Linked DNA regions of Coturnix japonica. The protein of the gene in region 2 interacts with the protein of the main gene of each other region in a pairwise test. Links are inferred from orthologs where the notes say so. Each region holds a gene or a part of one and is shown on either strand. Other genes may lie near its edges. The genes, in order: PARP11 and GTPBP3.

What was found.
Region 1: the proteins of GTPBP3 (region 2) and PARP11 interact in binary tests that used the Homo sapiens proteins (3 or more experiments, as listed by UniProt). The two-hybrid records come from large-scale screens. The link is inferred for Coturnix japonica from reciprocal best matches to the Homo sapiens genes GTPBP3 and PARP11.

The regions. Positions count from the first base shown.
Region 1 is NC_029516.1:68,157,877-68,166,744, forward strand, and holds the start of PARP11 (protein mono-ADP-ribosyltransferase PARP11), read right to left. Parts: upstream 4,296-8,868; 5' UTR 4,167-4,295; coding exon 4,131-4,166; intron 4,093-4,130; exon of another isoform or gene 3,903-4,092; intron 1,602-3,902; exon of another isoform or gene 1,541-1,601; coding exon of another isoform or gene 1,514-1,540; intron 1,083-1,513; coding exon 954-1,082; intron 859-953; coding exon 738-858; intron 403-737; coding exon 327-402; intron 1-326. UniProt on the Homo sapiens protein: Mono-ADP-ribosyltransferase that mediates mono-ADP-ribosylation of target proteins. Plays a role in nuclear envelope stability and nuclear remodeling during spermiogenesis. Inhibits the type I interferon activated signaling pathway.
Region 2 is NC_029543.1:2,482,789-2,493,185, forward strand, and holds GTPBP3 (tRNA modification GTPase GTPBP3, mitochondrial), read left to right. Parts: upstream 1-4,953; 5' UTR 4,954-4,981; coding exon 4,982-5,246; intron 5,247-5,680; coding exon 5,681-5,767; intron 5,768-5,852; coding exon 5,853-6,055; intron 6,056-6,134; coding exon 6,135-6,207; intron 6,208-6,278; coding exon 6,279-6,422; intron 6,423-6,548; coding exon 6,549-6,714; intron 6,715-6,794; coding exon 6,795-7,070; coding exon of another isoform or gene 7,071-7,074; exon of another isoform or gene 7,075-7,083; intron 7,084-7,192; coding exon 7,193-7,418; 3' UTR 7,419-7,461; downstream 7,462-10,397. Other genes in the region: ANO8 (anoctamin-8), read right to left, coding at 1-89, 202-312, 560-668; PLVAP (plasmalemma vesicle-associated protein), read right to left, coding at 8,779-8,785, 8,853-8,931, 9,011-9,113, 9,370-9,959, 10,142-10,232. UniProt on the Homo sapiens protein: GTPase component of the GTPBP3-MTO1 complex that catalyzes the 5-taurinomethyluridine (taum(5)U) modification at the 34th wobble position (U34) of mitochondrial tRNAs (mt-tRNAs), which plays a role in mt-tRNA decoding and mitochondrial translation.

The DNA.
Region 1 (8,868 bases), on a different chromosome or scaffold from region 2:
ACAAGACCCAAATTTTCACAGAATCACAGAATTATCAAGGTTGGAAAAGATCATCCAGTTCAACCATCACAAATACTTCCCAGCTAAATCATATCCCTCAATATTTTCTCAATAAACAAACAAACAAACAATAAATAAATAAATCCTTTTGTTATTCTCCCTCTAAAATTTATTCCTTCATTACTTGACTAGATTTCTCATATTTTCAAATCATTTGACAAAGAAACTAAATAAATATAGACAGTCCATATAAAACATATGTTTGTTCCATTTTAAAATCAAAATCAGGTTTAAGATCAAAATCAGGCTTCATTTTATTTCCTTACCTGAAAGCGCTGATAGAAAAGGGAGCTCGCTTTATTGGACGTTGTTTAAGGGTAGTTAGGTTGGTTTGCTTCATATCTGAGCATAAAACAAGAGTTACGATAAATGCTTCTGGAATTCATCTATAGCATATGGTTTTTTTTTTTGGTTTGGTTTGGGTTTTTTTGGGTTTTTTTGTTGTTGTTGTTGCTTTTTTTTTCCCCAAACAACATTATTACATCAAAAGGTGCTTGAAAGGAATTCCTATTTCAACAATTAATAAACCAACATCTGAGATAAAAAACTCAGAATACTGGCCTCACTATTAGGAGTTATTTATAAGAGTTGACAAGAATTGAGAACACTACACAAAGCAAATGAACTGGTGTACCTGACATCTCTGTTATTTAAGTTAATCCTATGAATATACATACCTGAAAAGTCTAGTGTGTAGTTAAATTTTGCAGTAGTAAAAGAAACAGAACCATATGGGTTTGTTCTGAAGCTCCTTTCAATATCTTCACTGCTAACTGAGCAATGACTATTTGAATCAGTCTTCAAAATAAATGAAAAAGTACATTTAGACATTTTCATCAATAGGTTGTTTGACATACAGAGGTCGAAAGTAATGTAACTTTGTTTGTAGTTACCTGAAACATATGCCATTTACCACACTCAGCCAAATAAAACCAGCCCCACTGAGTATCTGAGGTATCCATCTCTTCAACTGAACTTTCCATCTTTGGAAAGAGTTCTTCAGGTGTTCTTTGAAACATTTCCTGAAATATTTGCACGCATATCAAGTTTTTTGTGATACTCTTTGCAAAAGTACATTATTTGAGAAATTCATTAAAGGAAAAAAAAAAAAAGAAAAGAATAATAATAAAGAAGTGAATTGCAACTCTTAAATAAAAAAACATGGTTAGGTTACTTTCTGTTTTACAGAGGAAATTTCTCTGTACTCTACTTATTCGCTATTATCCTTCATGCTAGTTAAACATTTTTAAAGCTAACTCTTTCTCATATTTCCATAAGCATGCCCAGCCAGGAGGAATCTATATGCTATAACATATCAATGAAAGTTTCTTATACTGATAAACCTACGAACAAGCTATTCTTATAACGAAACACAGTCAAATGCACTACATAGGAATAAGGTGCTGGAGTTGCATTATAGCTTGACAAAAGCATCTACTAGATAGATACTCACCATGCATAAACTGATCGTACCAGACATTAGGAGATGTTATAAATAAAAATAAAAGTCCACAGTGCACTGCTTCTCAACACTGCATTAACTTAAAAATGATACAACAAAATTACTTAGCACTCTGTTCTGGTACAATGGATCACACAGAAAAAAAACAGGCTTTCAAACACTATTACCACCATATTTAGGGGGAAAAAATAACATTTGAAAAGTTACAACACAGGTCTATAAAAGTATAGCAAAATTGAGTAGGGAATAACTGATGACATTTTCTCTCTATGTGAAAAGACACTCATCAGTGTTTGCATGTGTTAAGTTCACAACAATCTAAAGAGAAACTTCATAATAGATGGCAAACTGTGATATTGCTTTCTACATCATGCTGTGGATACTGCAAGTTTATGCAAGTTTAAGAAGTGGCTAAACAAGTTCATGCCTCCCAACAGCTATGCCAGTATACCATTTGAATTATCTTAGCCAGTTCCCTTCCCTCATTCAACAATAAAATCCTGAAAACCCTGAAAGTATTTGACTCTAATTACATATACAGCTTAACATACCAGCTCTAACCTTTAACACCCCCCCCCCCCCCCCACCAAACATCAAAATATGAAGCACTGGGTGAACTTTCAGAGGAAGTATGACCTCCTCCCAGAAAGTACTAGAAATTCATCCAGACAAACTGCTTAACCATGACTGCACTCTTCCCATCAGTTTCCTCAACTTAACTTTTTCTTTCAAGTAGTAGAACAATGTGTTCTAGTATAAATAATCCAAATCAAGTACAGTTAATATCCTGAATGCTTTAGATCCTTCATGAACACTTCAACCCAGAAAAAGGTAAATAGCAACCTGAAGAATGCATACACTAGAAACTAGACATAGGCACCAACTGGCCAGTGCCACTGGGGCAGGAGTTCAGAGCAGAAAAATGCTAGCAACACCCTCTGCCTTATTTGCTCTCTGTGTTTGTTCTACAAACAATCCTAGAAACCTCTTCATGGAAGCAGCTAAAGTCTGCATCTAAAATGTGGAATGACTGTTTATCACCATAAGCGCCATAAGAGTAAGAAAACCACTCTCTGTTCCATTCTTCACAACAATACAAAGCCATAGAGCCTACATTCACTTAGTTTTAAAGCACAATTGGCCAAACATCTTCTGATGATCAACTTCCACCTTCAACTTGATTCTTCTGATTACATGAGTATTTGGCCCTGTTCTATTCTACAGGCTGATATGCTGTAGTCCACACACATTTTTACAGCTAAGAGGAATACAATCCAGGCTTTTTTGGTAATCTTAAGTTTCCTTATGTTTCTACTAAAATTGTCAGATTGCTGCAACATGCCAACATTAGTTCAGGGCCCTGAATCTGATAATTCACATCAGTACTGGCTTTCAAACAAGTTATGAACAGTGAAGACATATTCACCTGTGCCCCATCAAAACAGATTTATGCATATGGAAAGAACACAGCTTCCAGGATAAACTATTGATTAAAGACAGAAGTATTCCCACAGTTTTAAAAATTCAGACCATAGGCACTACCTTTAGACGGGAAGTACAGGGTAAACAAGTAGGTTCCAGATACTTCTAAGGAAGAATGACTCAAATACATAAACACAACAAAAGAGATGTTCTCAAAAGTGATGCAAATGTAAAACGCTTGAAGAAAATTACTCAGCTTACCGAGGAATTTAACCACTATATACACACCAATTATAAAGCAAATGTAGCTTTTTGTCCAAAACCTATGAACACATGCATAGTGAACAGAAATGTATCAACGGACTTTCTGGATGACAGGTTGTCAACTATCAAAGATGCAGCAGTGAGAATTTTATTAGCAATGCTATTTCTAAACATGTCGATTTCCATTAATATCACTTTCAAAAATGGTCCCATAAACATCTTAAAGGCAACACTACTAATTTTGACAACAAAATTCTCCTTCTAAATAGAGCTAATTTGTGTGCTGTGCTGTGACTAGTGTGGCTTTATTATTACTCCTAACCTCATATACCTATTAGCTCTTTTAAACTTGAATAAGCATGTTTTAAGGCACATCCAGATGGGCTGCTTTCTTGCAGCGTCCATTTAGCATATTACTGTTGAAGACTGCTTTACCTAAAAACATTATCCAAGGGTCTGATGTGAAAACATGCACCATGGCCGGTGGCCTCTTATGTATGGCCTCATGGTATGTGATCAGGTATGTGATCTTAAAAAAGAGTATAGGGCTGGGAAGTGGAAGTGAGAAGGAAGAACTGCATTAGAACAAGCACAGGGAACAATACGTGATAACCTCCAGATCTATATCACATTTCCCACAGTACAGAGGGGCAACGTTGTACGGGGGAAAGCGTTAATCCACACACGGCACCACTACCTCCCGATCTGTCTCTCATGCTCCTCCGAAAATGGAGAAGATGGCGGCCTATACCACCATCCCCTCTTCCCCGATGTTGCAACGCTGTCGCTCCCCACGCCTGCGGCGGGTATGATGGAGTGAGGCGGGGCCGGCCAGGAAACGGCAGCACGTAGCGAGGAGGCGGGTGAGGAGCATATGGAACGGAGCGGCCATTACCCCCGTCCCCCTCCCGCGCGCACTCACCGCATCTGCCGCCCACCCCGAGTTCGCTCCCCACATGTTGGCCGGAGAGTGGGGAGGAGTGTACGTGTTGGGGGAGGAGACGGGGGAGAAGGAAGCAGGCCAAGCGTAGCAGTGCAAGTCACGTCACTGCTTACACCCCGGACGCTTCCGTTACCGATAGCAGAAGAAAAGGGAGGGGCAACAGTTGTTACTGGCAACGCTACATCGGATCGTCACATAGAGAGGCGAGGCCTGGTATGCAAATTTCTAGCGGAGTGGGCGGGGTTGAAGTAGGATGTAAGGGAGCGTTTTGTGTTTGATTTTGTATCGTGCCACGAAGAGACAGCGCTCAGTGGCGCTCTGTGGAGCTGTGGCTTGGCGTGCTGGCTGTGTGGGCCGGTCTCCCTGGAGCAGCTGTGTGACATTTTGTCAGTTGTAGGTTCTTCGGCAGTCTTTTAACCACCCTCTGATGTGTTCTTTTAATTATTGGCTGTATTTGTGGATAAGAAGGGTCTTCCTCTCTGCAAAAGATTTTTCACAGCCCATAATTTTCCTTAAGAGCCTTTATATATATTCTTTGCACGTAGCCATCTGTGTCACCAGCAGGTAAGGCAGCTCTAAGAAGATTATCTAATGAAAATATGAATAAAAGCTGCAGCCTACCATGTTATCCATCAAGTTGATCTTCAGAGTATGAAAAATGAACACTCTGGGCAGCTTTACCTGTAATCAAGATCGAAAAGTGGCAGCAGCTCTAGGAAGGGCTTCTGGTAAGAGGACATAGTCATACACATGCCTTACCCGAGTCCTTCAAGGGAAACCTCTATGATGAGAGCTGCTGAGTGGAAGAGCTGTCACTGTCCAACCCATAGATGCAAGTTGCAGTCTTAGGAAACTGTGCTGGAAGCTAGCAGATAGGCCATTGTGTAATCCAAAATCTGGGAAGAAAACTCTCCAACTCCAATGTGGTGTTAGAAAGCAAATTTCCTTTATTCCTCGTGATGCGATAACATACCTGGCAACCTGAAAAGCAATTGCACCCTCTTAGAGTTCAGGTTCTACATTTGAACAGCTAATACATGCATATGCAGTACATCGGTGTACACATTTGTTCTTTTTAAAAACCTCATAAATACATGCTAATAGGGCATGCTCACTGGTATCTAGAGTAGTTGAGTGCCTACCTGCTTCTTCCCCCCTTTTCACCATCAGCTCAATCAATGAAGCCTTTGGCTCACTTGCATCTCCTTTTCCCTGCTTTGGAAGATTTCTAATGCTTATTAGGCCATAGTAAGCCACTTTTTTAAAAAACAGTGTAAACCAAGGAAAATGTCCTTGCACATTTTGAGGCAAAAGATAAAAGTATTCTATTGTGACTCCAGTACTTCTTGTGAGGCAAAATCATTGAGGCAGAAGATAAAAGTATTCTATTATGTCCCCAGTGTAAAATTATTGAGGAAAAACAAGACTCTTCACCCAGTAAAGCTGAAATGGACAGTTTTACAACTGTAGCTTGTGGATTCCTTTTGCTAAACTAATAAATTGGTTCTTAAACTAATGTGCTAATTGCTATTGCTAAAAAAATCCAACCTATATCAATTGTAGTAAAATTGTGCAAGTCCTGTGAAGTATGTCCTGCTGTGAAGGATTTTCATTGGGCAACTGTTGTGGATTAACCTCAGCAGTCAGTAAAGAACCACACAGCTTCTTGCTCAGTTCTCTGCAGTATGGAAGAGAAAAGGAAGGGTAGAAGCGTGAGAACTTGCAGGTTGAGATAAAATGTCTAAAATGTATGAAAGACAGTTTGACGGGTAAAGCAAAAGCTGTGTTCACAAGCAAAGCAAGATGAGGAATTCATTTACTAGTTTTCACTAGCAGGCAGATGTTCAGCTGTTTCCAGTACAGCAGAGCATGCCATGCATATCAGTTTCTTGGGAAAATAACGTTATCATCTTACATCTCCCTGCAGTCCCATTTCTTATCTTTTCATCTAGTTTTAACTGCTGCTTTAACATGATGTTTTACAGTATGTAAATCTTCCTTGTCAGTTTAGATCACCTACACTGGCTGTTTCCACTCATATCTTCTTTTGCACCCCCAGCTGGATGGATTGTGAAAGAAACAGAAAAGGCCTTGGTACTGTGTAAGCTCTGTTAAGAGGCACCTGAAACATTAACGTATTATGACCACTTTTCTGATCACAGATCTAAAGCACAGCATCATACAAACTTTGATAAATATTAACTCTATCTCAGTCAAAACTGGTACAAAGAAAAGCCAAATTAGAAAAAGGGTGGATTTAAAATCATAAAATCATAGAATCATTAAGGTTGGAAAGGACCTCTGAGATCATTTAGTCCAACTGTCCACCTACCATCAATATTTCCCACTAATCCATATCCCTCAATACCAGTTCTACATGTTTCTTAGACACCTGCAGTGACAGTGACTCCACCACCTCTGTGGGCAGCCCATTCCAGTGCCTGACTGTTCGTTCTGAAAATAATTTTTCCTAATGACAAGTTTCTTATATTCTAAAGGAATTTCAGGCAGGATAAATGTCAAGATTCTGGCTGACCTCACCTCTGAGATTAAAAAAATGTTATCTTTTCTGAGTTTGAACAGCATCTGATGAATTGCTGAGAGTATTTCACTGCCATGAATGTGAGGTTTCAAGAATGAAGCAATTTTCCAGAAGTAGGGACATCTTTTTAAAAAAAAAACAAAACATGACTGTGAGGATGTAGCCTTTCTGTGCTTTTACAAACAGTATAGAAATAAGAGAGGATTATCACTTTACCTGTTGCAAAATACACTTATTTTTTCTTTTTTTTTTTTTTTCTTTTTTCTTCTTTTTCTTTTTTTGAAAAGGTGCTGACAATGCTTTGCATGTAAAATATAAACCTTTTCTAGGTATACAGACAGACCTTTTCTAGGTTGAGAATCACGTACCATTAAACATAGCATATCATAATGACATCAAGGTCTGAGAAAAACAGCTGAAATACAATGAGATGAAGTCAGAGAATCAGATAATGTCAAGAGCAGAAGGCTGCCAACACCAGTGTAGTTTCTCAAGTGTGATCCAAGTGCCTGAATGGGACTGCTCCCTGGACACTGTTTTAATGACTAAACTTTGCTCTTCACACTTCTTTGCCTGTGTTTATAGTGTAGTTTTTCTGTGCTCTAGTGTACATACCATGTCTGCACTGAACTCTTTCAATCTGAGATTTCAATAGAAAGGTTAATTCTACACATAGAGAAAAAGAGGCTTTCCAGCAGCTTGGTGCACTCCTTTCCTGCAATACCCTAAGAAAAGGATGCAGGGATTACTACCAACCTTGATCAATGTCAGGAGAGGTCATTTCTGTTCAGCTCAACCCTAGTGAATGATGTTCATGTAGGGAATGGCTTCTTTGTGTAGGCTCTCTTATCTCTGCTCCCAGTTTTGGGCAAAGACTTCTCAGAAGAAAAAAAATCTTGTGTCTAATTACACTGTGCAGCAGAAGAAACTGTGGGTAGTTTCTTCTCTGCTTGGGGAATGAAGTTAGTGAGACTGAAGTGATTGCAGAAAAGCCTACTTTGCAAACTGTGTGATCAGGTTGTCTAGGAACTCTGAAGAGCACAGCCACCCATAAGAAGAAGCAAAATTAATTTCCATGTCTCTGCACTGTATATCCTCATGGTTCTCAGGAATATCTTTTCTACTTCCAGACCCAAAAGGTATCTCTGAAGGCCTTCATCAGGGAACATCTGAACAGAATGGACATATATTCATCCATGGGACTTGCCATCATGCAAATACAGATGAGACAGATGATGCAGTTGCAACAGTACTCAGTTTTCCTTGGAATGTCATAATGATCACAGCTTCCTAAGGACTAGAAAAGAGCAAATCTCAAGAAAAGCAAGAAAGAGGATCCAAGGAACAACAGACTAGTCTGCCTGGCATTGATTCTGGGAGAAGTGATGGAACAAATCCTTCTGGAAATTATTTTCAGTAATATGAAGGTAATTGGCAGTTGACTTCCAAAGAGATATCAAGTCTGACTAAATTCTCCAGTGGAACAATTTTCTTCCTAATGAGAGAAACTACCTGAACTGCTGAGCTCAAGTAATTGCTTCCAGTGGCATAAGGACCGTGCATATGATTAAGGGATTAGAGCATCTGACATGTAAAAAGAGTGAGAAATCTGAAATTATTTAGCCTCAAGAATAGAAGGTTTGTCAAAACCTAGCAGCTGATAGTGGGGGCAGAGCAAGGAATATAGAATCAAATTCTTGGTGGCATCTAGTGAAACGACAAGCAGCAATGGACACAAATGAAAATACAGGAAATTCCAATTAAACCTAAGAAAAACTTAATACTACCCTTACATTGTGTATGACCAATTGCAGACACAGTTAGTCTAGGGAGGCTGCAGTTTTCATCCTTTGAGCTATTCAAAATCTTTCTGGACAAGGCTTATGCTTTGAGAAGTGAAGTTGGGCTAGATAATTTCCAGAGACCTCTTACAACCTCAGTCATTCTGTGAAAGGTGTTCAATGCATCCTTGAAAATCTTGCCAAATTCTTCCCTTCCTTTTGTTGTTCCTGTCCGTTACATGAGTACTGAGGAGTTGGTGTTTCAGAACTGGAATGATCACATCCTGTAGCTCAGGTTCCTCTTTGGTATTTTCACACAATAAAAACAGCATAATCTCCCCTTTTCTCCAGCTCCTTTTGATGTAGCTGAGCCAAATCCTGGCTTTGTTGCCTA
Region 2 (10,397 bases):
CTTGTGGTGCCGCACCTGCACGATGAGCTCGGGGATGCCGAGGCGGATGTGGTTCAGCAGCCAAAGCAGTGTATGGTCATCTGTGCTGTCTATTGGGGTGGGAGGGCAATGATATGTCCACAGCCCCGTGCCCACATCCCCCACCTCTGACCCATGGCTCTGAGGAGCTCTGTGTTCCCAGCCCCCTGCCCCCCCTTGTACCTGGGAAGGTCATGAGCACGTCGCAGTTCTCGGTGGGCACCGTCTTCATCCAGGCTTTGTGGGACATGATGTAACGCCCGGCTTGGAGCAGTCGCTTCCCAAAAAGCTTGTCTGTAGGGAACCAAATGGCTCCGTCACCCCCCATCACCCACCCCATTAACCCCATTAACCCCATAACCCCACAGCAATGGGTCGGCTGCCAGCACAGCCGCAATGGGAACAGCGATTGCAATGGCCGTAGCTCAGGTTTCTCCTCTGGGTGCCTGAAAAAGCCCCGACAGCTGCAGGAGGTGACACATGGCCAGGCATGGTGTAGCACAGCCCCCTCCCAGCCCCACTGCCCCCCCCCCCAGCTCACCTCTGCCTGCAGCCCCACAGCGGTGCTGGGATCCAATGCGGCCGCAGCGCCGGGAGATGGGAAACGGCAGCAAAAATGGGGGGGGAGTGAAAAAGCAGCCTGTCTCCATGGAAACATGGGGAGGCCCCGTGTGGTGGTGATACGTAGGGATGGGGATGGTCCCCAGGGTCCCATTGTCCCCCCCCTGGATGGTACCCAGCACCCGTCCTGCTCTGGGGTGGCTGTGATGGAGGGGTTGCTGTCCCCCTGCTCACTGTCCCCATTGGGGTGCATGGGGACCCCTCACATCCCAGCCTGGCTGTGGGGCAGGATGAGGCCCCATAGAGCCAGTGGGTCCCAATGCCCTCTGTCAGCTCCAGGTCACCTCTGTGCCTCAGTTTCCCCTTTTGCAACTGGGCAGGGACGTCACTGCTTGCCCCAGGGCAGGGAAGGTTGTGGGGCACAGGAAATCCTACACACACCGGGCAGGAAATGCCAGACATCCATAAGGACAAACATTGGGATGTGCACTAAGACCGGCATCAGGACCTGGGACACACACCAGGCCCCGTCCCAGCCCAATTCCATGCCCCCCATCCCAGCTGAGACCCAGCAAACTCATCTCCTATGTCACTGCTGTGAGCTGTGGGTGCAGGACCAGGACGGCACCGGGCTGGCAGCCAGAAGGGGTGGAGGGGCAGATCCTATGTAGGGGGGGGGCACCACTCACCCACCCCACACACAGGGACAGCCCTGGGGGTGGTGCAGGGCCTTGCACAAGTGTGGCATTGTCAGCTCTAACACAGCTGCAGAGCTGGGATGGCACCGGGGAAGAGGCTTCAGCTGGGGATGGGGTGACTCCCTGGGACCCCCCCCCAACTCTACCTCATTCACACTGCCATACAATGGGACCCCCAGGCTCAGTGGGTCCCCTGTGCTGGGGCATGGATGGGGATGATTCAGTGCTGCTGTATTATTGATGGCCACAAAGGGACGTGTGGGGAGGGGGCACTGGGGGGGGGGCACCACACACACATGTGCCATGCCATGCCATGTGTGTGACCCCACGGTGCCACACGTGTGACTCCATGGCACAACCTCAATGGCACCACACTGCCCCACAGAGCCGTGGGGTCACCAAGAGAGACATGGCGGGGGGGGGGGGCTGCAGAGGGGTCCCAGAATGGGCTTTGTCCACTTGAAGGTGACTAGGAGGTGGGGGGGGGATGTTTCTGCCCCCTCCTCCAGCCGTGGGGCCATTCCTGCTCCATGTCCCCACGGACCCCCCCAGGTCCTCCCGGTGCCACCCTGCATTGTGGGGACATCACAGCCGCCCAGCCACCGCTCACCTTGGGGTAAGGTCACCGCAGCCGCAGGGCTCCGGGTACCCAACCGCTGCCACCCGCATCGGGAGCACCGGGCGGTACCGCGGGGGGGGGCACAAAGTGGGTCACCCTCCCACCACGAATCCCCTCGTCCCAACGCGGTCGCATCCCCGGTGGTGTCACCCCGCTCGGTGTCACCCGCCGCGGGGACCCGCTGACAAAGCCTTCATCCCTCAGCCCCCGCCCCCACCCGGCCCTGGGGAGGTCGGGGTGGGGGGGGAGGGAAGGGGAGGTAAAAAGGGACATGGCTGGAGGGGGGGGGGGCAAAAATGGCCCTTCCCTGGGGTGGGGGGGGCTACAATGGTAAGGAGGGGGCACAGCTTGCCCGAGGGCCGGGGGGGTACCGCTGCTGTTCTTCCCGCCACAACGGGCGCTTTATGGGAGGGGCAAACGGGGGGGGGGGGGGGTCACAGCAGAGTCCTGAACGGACCCCCGAACCGGGTGTAGGGACGCGGTATGCCCAGCAATGTGCCGGGGCCCAGCACGGACCCCCCCGGGCATGAGAGGGGAGGACGCATCAAGTACCAACCCACCCCCCACGGACCGCAAGCGGGCTGCCCGGAGCGGCCGCGCCGCATTGGAACCGCAAAGGATCCGGCCCCCACGTCCCCCGCCCCAAATGCTCCCCCAAACCCACAATACCGGTTCGTACGTCCCTGCCCCCCTCCTCCTCCATCCCCGCTGCCAACCTACCCAAGACCGCCCCCCGGGGCGCCGGCTTCTCGTCCGTTCGTCCCCAGGGCGGGGACCCCCCTTCCGGGCCGTATTCTCCGTACGTGGCGGTGCCCGCGGGCCCGGTTCAGGGCATGATGAGGGGGCTTCCGGGCTGCGGCGGAGGCCTTCGGTCGGAGCGGCCGCGCAATGGGGTACCGAGTCGGTCCGTGGGTCGGAGCCACCGCGAACCGAGCCCGAAACCGGCCGCCCTGCGCCCCGGACGGGAGGAGGAGGAGGAGGGACAAAGGCGGCGGAGCGCCGCGCTTCGGGCCCCGGCAGCGTTGGTTGGATTGGCAAGCGCCAAGAATGTGGGGCCGCGACGGCTGCATCCCCCCCCCCCCTTCAGAGCCTGGCACCCCCACCCTTAAGTTGCCTGCAAAACCCCCCCCAATTCCTTCCCCATCCCACCCGCGCCAACCCTATCACCACCGCTGTGCCCCACCAGCATCCTCCCAGTCCCCTCCTGTTACAAATCCCCCCCCCCTGCTGTACATCTGCCACCCCAAATTCCACATCAGAACCCCCGTTCCCCAATCACCCGACATCCCCCCCCCTGCTCCCCCAATCCCATGTTCTCCCCCCACACCGCAGGCACACAGAGACGCCGCAGCCTCCGGGCTTCAAAGCTTGCTAAACATATTTACGGTTTGTGATACTTGGCACCGCCGCGCGCGGAGGGTAAAACAACCGAGCGGGGCCCACGCCACCTTGCCCCCCCGCTGACATTTGGGATCCCTCCCACCACCCCCCCACCCCCAACAGCCCCCACACTCAATGACTCAATGAGGGAGGGGGGGGGGGGCAATGGAACACCCCAGACCCCCCCGCAAAGTGCCCATAAAGAGGATAGGATGGGGGGGTTGGCACCACGTGCATGCCCACTGCTCGACCCCCGTGCCGCAAATGTGATTATCGGGGGCGTGGGGATCCCATACAGGGTCGTGTCCCCCCCCGGCTCTGTGTCTATTTTGGCACTGTCTGTCAATGCTGAGGGTTGGTGCCACCCGGCCATCCCATTTAGGGACCCACTGAACCACCCCGCCCCAATAGCCAGAGCCACCCCAGCGGGGTTTATACCCCCATTAAGGGCCCTGCCCCAGGTGGATCATGGGGACCCCAATGGGGGGGTGGGCAAATTGGTGTACACAATGGGGCTGATGGGGGCGGGGGGGGGCCAATGATGGGGCCACTAGAATCCCATCCGTGCCCCCAGTCCCTCCCGCGATCCCCCCATCATTCCCTGCCATCTACCCTCCCTTCCCTCTCTCCTCCATTCCCCTCCCAAAGATTCCCTCCTCCATCCTCCCACTATCCCCCGCCCTTCCCCTCCCCCCTCCTTTGATCTCCGCTCCATGGTCCCCATCTCATCCTACCAGTCCCCCCCCCCCCTCCCTCCTACTTAAAATTGCCTGGCAAGCGTGAGGCGGCGACAGCGGGAAGCGCCCGTAAAACGCCTCAGGCTGCCTTGACGGCCAAATTCCCTCATCTTCGAGAAACCAATCAAGAAATAAGACTTTGGAGGGGACATAAACCCCGCCTCTTTTCAGCAGACAACCAATCGGTGGCTTGGAGTGGGCGAGGCGTTGTTGGTGTGGGCGTGGTTTGATTGGAGTGGGCGTGGCTTTTTTAAGGCTGGCGGTGGGCGGGGGCTTTTTGGGGTGCAGCATGGTCGCTGCGGAGGGCGCATGTAGTGCGGTGGGAAACGGAGGTGGGGGCAACCCTTAATGGGGGGCACCTTAATGCGGGGGGATGGGGGACCTTATAAATAGGGGGGGTGGAACCTTTAGGAGAGGGGTTGGGTTCACACATTAATGGGGGGGTAGGGCGCCATTAAAAGGGGCTGGCGACCATTAAAAGGGGGGTGGTCCCCAACCTAATGTGGCGGGGCGTGGGCGAATCCTTAACAAGGGGGGTGTGGCAAACTTAAAAAAGAGGAGGGTGGCGCCCACCATTAAATAAGCGTATGGGTGGGACCTTAATCGGGGGCGGTGGGCACCTAAGAAAGAGGCGGGTGGGGCAACCTTAATTCGGGGGGCTTGGGCACCTTAATGGGAGGGTGGGACCTTTGGTGGGGGTGTGCCTTGAGGGGCGGTTGCTCCTATGAGGCGGTGCAGGGGGTCCCAATGGGGGGGGGTGCAGCCCTAATGAGTGGGTGTTGTAAGGGGAGGGGGTGCATTGAGTGTAAGTTGGAAGGATTGGGGGGGGCACATACCATTGCTCATGGGTAAGTGAGGATGGGGGGGCCCTGGTTGTTGGTTGAATGGGGTTGGGGGGGGGGCACAAGCTTATGGGATGGGGGAGGGTCTTTTTGGGGGGGGGGGTCGTTGCACTTCCATACGCCTTTATGGGATGTTGTGTCCCCCCCCCCCCTCTAACTAGGTGTACACTGTGCTCGGTGGCCCCAGGGGACACCATCTTTGCCGTCTCCTCCGGACACGGGCGCTGTGGGGTGGCCGTTATCCGTACCAGCGGTCCCGGTAGTGGGGGGGCTTTACTCAGCCTTACCGGGAGCACCGAGTTGCCCCCCCCCCGCCTTATGACCCTGAGGCGCATCCGGGACCCCCACACCGCAGAGCTGCTGGACCGTGGGCTCGTTGTATGGTTCCCAGGTGGGAGATGGGGGGAGAAGATGGAATATGGGGGGTGGGTCCCCTATGAGGGTCTCAGTGGGGGGCACCGTGGAGGGCCCTGGGTTTGCAGTGGGGACTTATTGGACCCTGGAAGGGGCTGTTGGGTGCATGGGGGGGGGGTGACTGGGTGCTAATCAGGTGGATCTGGGGGTCTGATGTGGGTTTTGGGTGCCCAAGGGGGTGGATATCGGTGCCCATTGGGGGTCTGATGGGGGGTCAAAGGGTTTGGTGTAAGTTCTGGGTGCCAGGTGGGGGTCTGGTCATCACATGCAGCCCCTCTGTGCTGCCCTGGCTGCTCCAGCATCAAACACTGCCCCATTGTGCTGACCTTGCAGTGCAGCTGTGGGCATCGGGGGTCTCTCTCCAGCCCCCCATGCCCCCATGGGATTGAAGGCTCTCCCCATGCTCTACAGGACCCCAAAGCTTCACCGGGGAGGACTGTGCTGAGCTTCACGTGCACGGTGGGCCTGCAGTGCTGAGCGGAGTGCTGCGGGCACTGGGTGAGCCCTTCCCACCCCCATCCCCCTTGTTTTCCCCCCACCCTTTATCCCCCCCATCCCTCTCAATGCTGACAGCTGCTCTCAGGGCGCCTCTCTGGGCTCCGTCCTGCTGAGCCGGGTGAGTTCACCCGCCGTGCTTTCCACCGGGGGAAGCTGGACCTGACGGCAGCCGAAGGGCTGCGGGATCTCATCCATGCTGAGACTGAGGCACAGAGGCAACAGGCCCTGAGGCAGATGGAGGGTGAGCTGGGCAGGCTGTACCAGCGGTGGGGTGAGACCCTCACCCAGGTAGGGGCTTTTGGGGTCATCGGGTGGGGGGCTTGGGGATGCACAAGCTGTCTATGCTGACCCACATTCCACACCCCAGGCTCTTGCTCATATTGAAGCATACATTGATTTCAGTGAAGATGACAATGTAGAGGAAGAGGTGTTGTCCCAAGGTAAGGTAAGGAGGGGTGGGGGGATGCCCTGACCCTGCTGTGTCCTCACCCCCACCTCTGTATCCCTGCAGTGGATGAAGCTGTGAGGGCACTGGAGCAGGAGATCGCTGCCCACCTGCAGGATGGGCGCCGGGGGGAGCTGCTGCGCTCGGGGGTCCACGCTGTCATCGCCGGCCCCCCCAACGTGGGCAAGAGCAGCCTGCTCAACATGCTGTGTGAGTGGGGCACGGGGGGCTCCATGCGGCCGCCCCCCACCTGAGGCTGAGCCACATCCCCGATGCTATAAGGGTTTGTGTCCCTGGTGTCGTCCCCCTGAGCCCTGTGTCCCCCCCTGTCCCCAGGCCAGCGTCCAGCTGCCATCGTGTCCCCCATAGCGGGGACCACACGGGATGTGGTGGAGGTGTCCCTGAATGTCAGTGGTTACCCTGTGGTGCTGAGCGACACAGCGGGGCTGCGTGATGCCACCGACCCCATTGAACAGGAGGGAGTGAGCCGTGCTCGGGACCGGTGAGCTGGGGGGGGGGGCAGGATGTGGTACTGAGGGGGGGGCTGAGCAGGTGGTGATACAGCAGGTTGTGTCCCCACAGCCTTCAACATGCAGACTTAGTGCTGGCTGTGTTGGATGCCACCACGGTACCCACTGATCCAGCTGAGCTGGGGGCTGCTCTGGGCTCCCTGGTGCCCCCCAGCACCCCCTGCATCCTGGTTCTCAACAAGGCCGACCTGCTGGGGGGGCACAAGGGGGCTCTATGCGATGCCTGCACCCACGGACCCCCACTGCCCCCCACCACCCTGCTGTCCTGCAAGACGGGCGAAGGCACCGACAGCCTCCTACAGCTGCTGGGGCAGCAGCTGGCACAGCTGTGAGTGCCACGGGTATGGGGGGGGGGGCACAGGATGGCACCAGTCCTATCCATGCACAGATGGCTTTTGGTGGGGGGGTGGATGCTGCAGGGTGTTGTGCCTTCCTCCTTTCCCCTTCCAGGTGTGGAGACCCCCTGGCTGGCTCACCCACCCTGACGCAGAGCAGGCACAGCACCCAGCTGCATGGCTGCATGGCTGCACTGGTGCTGTACAGGCAGCAGCAGGACGTGGGGATGGCAGCCGAGCAGCTGCGCCTGGCACGGCGGCACCTGGGGCGCATCACGGGGCACGTGGGGGCTGAGGACATCCTTGATGTCATCTTCAGGGACTTCTGCATTGGGAAGTGATTGTTGGGGGGTCTGTTGGGGTATTAAACCGTGGTGCCTTGGGCTGGTCTGTATCTTTGCCCTGTGCCCATAGCACTAAGCCTGGTGTGGTGCTCTCTATGCTGGGGGGGGGGGAGCGTATCCTGAGCCCCAGCCGTGGGAAAAGCAGCTGGGAAGGGCTGTGCTTCCTGGCTGGGAGGATGCACTCAGAGCTGGAGTGTTGGTGATGGAAAATCCTCTGCTTCCCCCGTGGGCATCCCCTCCCCATTGCACGACATGGGGCCCATCGTGGTACCCTAAAGGTGGTGGTCCCAGCCCTAATGAGGTGGGTGCCCTCTTAGGGTGGGGGTCCCTGTGGCCCTTGTTGTTCTCACACCCCCCAGACGGGGCTCCCAGCAGTGCCACCATGCGTCAGGGCAGCCCTGCTACGTGGCTTTGCTTGTCTTATGAGTGATGGGGGGAGAGGGGGGGGTACCCAAAGGGACCCAGAGGTGCTGGTGGGGGGACAGGGACATTGCAATGTCCTGCAGTGGGCTGAGTGTCACTGCGTGGTGTTGGTGGCCTGCAGGTGGAGCGGGACCGGGGCTGCGGCGTGTCGGGTGTCAGGAAAAGCTCTTTAAACAGGAAAGAGAGGAACGCGAGGCCATAAATCACTGCACGGCCATAAATCACTGCACGGCCATAAATCACTGCGCCTCGGCCCCTGCGTGCCAAAGCTGGGGGGGGGCGGCGGGGACAGGGGGGACTGCAGGGCTTTATTGGGGACAGGGGGGGCTCTGCTTTGGCTGAGAGCTTCGCTCTCACTTCCCAACTGCACAGTGGGGAAAGCTCCGGGTTTAGCAGCAGGATGGGGGGGAAATGGCAGCTGCCCCAGGGGGAACCTTGACCTGACCCCTTCCCCACCCCCCCCCTCTTGGTGCTGGGGGAGTCCCTTACATCCTTGGCTTCTGCTCGGCCCCTTCTGGGAACAGCCTCCCCCTCTTCCTGATCTGTTTCCTCAGCCTCGCTACCTTTGCAGTGGGACGGGATGTTCCTGCCCCCCCCCCTCCCCAAACACTCTCTATGGCCTTTTTCCCCCATCCCAGCCCCCCCCCCCCCCAAGTCCAGCAGTGAAGCACACACGCAATGAGTTGTGTCAGTGCTCAGCACGGCTTGTATTCACAGCAGTTCCAGGTACACACACGTGGGCACCGAGCAGGGAGGAAGGAATGGATGGGCATCATGGGCTGGGGTTTGGTTGGGGAGGGGGGGAGTGGAAGGGGAAGGGGAGGAAGGGGGGGATGGGGCTCATTCCCTTCTCTCTCCTGGTTGGGGTTTTCCATCCGTGCCGCTCCGGGCTCATCCTGCTGCCCTCCAGCCCCTCACCACGGCTCTCCTCATGCTACCCACTGCAGGGAGAGCACAGTCAGCCCCATCCCCTCCCCATCCATCCATCTCCAGTGCCCACCTCCTCACCTGGGGTTCCTCATCATGGCCGTGTACTGCTCCAGCACGTTCTGCACCACTTTCTGGATCTCCTCAGTGTTGATTTTATCTGGCAGGATGAGAGCAAATGGGGTTCAAATGGGGGGGTTGAACTCAGTTGGGGCAGTGCCCGTAGGGGATGAACTCACCCTGATTCTGCAACAGATCCGCATAGGAGCTGGGGAAGGGGCCCGACCTTACGCTGCCCACAGCACTGCCTGGCACCCATGGGGCTGTGTAGTAGGTGCCCACCTGCAGAGGGGAGAGTTGGGTGTGTATGTGTGTGTCTGTGTTGGTTTCCCCTGGCCCTCGCCCTGACTGGGCATAGGGGACAGGGGTGGCACAATGTGGTGCTGTGAGCCCCATAGGGTTGTGCTAAAGGCTGTGGGCAAGAGCGCATCCCAGAGGGACAGGGTTAAAAAAGGTGCATGCAAAGAAGTGCCCGTGCAAAAGGAAATGTGCCAAAGTACCTCTGCAAAACCACACATTAAACACACCCAGTCCCTACCTTGGAGCTCATGCAGAGGCTGAGCTGCTGGCTGAAGTAGTTGGCTTGTGCAGCAACTTTGCTCTTCTCATCCAGCTCCTTGCTCAGCTTCTCCTTGTCCGCCAGCAGCTTCCTCCTCTCCTCCTGGCTGCCTTGCAGCTGCTGCTGCACCTCCTGCAGCCTCTTGCCCAGCTCCTGCTTCTCGTGGGAGCAGTTGAGGTGACACTGCTGCAAAGTCAAGTCGCAGACGCTCTTCCCCACGTAGTTGCTCTCGTGCTGCTGCTGCCTGGAGAAGAGCTCCTCGATGCGATGCATCAGCAGCCTCAGCTGCTCCTCCACTTGGCTGCAGCCGAAGTTCTTGTTGCTCATGCTCATGGTGCGCAGGTTGTACAGCACGTTGGAGCTCAGCGTGTCGCATTCCCTCCTCAGGTGATCCAGCTCTCCCTTGGTGGTGACGCAGTGAGCACCCGCCACCTTCAGATCCATCTGGCAACGTTCTTTCTCCTGCTTGGCTTTATCCAGGGCTGTTTCAGCCGTGCTGCAGTTCTGCCCCAGCTCCTTCCTCTGCTGCGTCGCCATGTCCAGCTGCTGCTGCAGCTGCTGCTTCTCGTCTGCATGGGGATGTGGAGAGTTGGGGTGCACCATGGGACCCCCACCCGTCACCCTGACCCTGCCCAGCCCGGGGGTACGTTGTGCATGGGATCCCTGAGGGTTATTGGGGACCCCCGTGCACAGACTCTGGGTGTGTAGGGGGGTCTGTGGGCCCTCAGGGGGTTGGGAAGGGGACCCTTACTGGCGCACTTGATGTTGATGAGGTTGATGCCCATGTAGCACTTCTCCAAGTGAGTCTTTTGGAAGATGATGGTCCTGTTCATGTCTTCTAGCTGGGGGGGAAAGCAGTGGGTTGGGGGAGGGGGGCAGGAAGGGAATGAGGTCAGTGTGGCCTCACGGCAGCACCAGGAGCACAGCCAAAGTGCCCCCAGGGATTGATGAGTCCAGAGATTGGAGCCCACCCTCCCCAACCCCTCACCCATCTCTCTGGGGTCCCA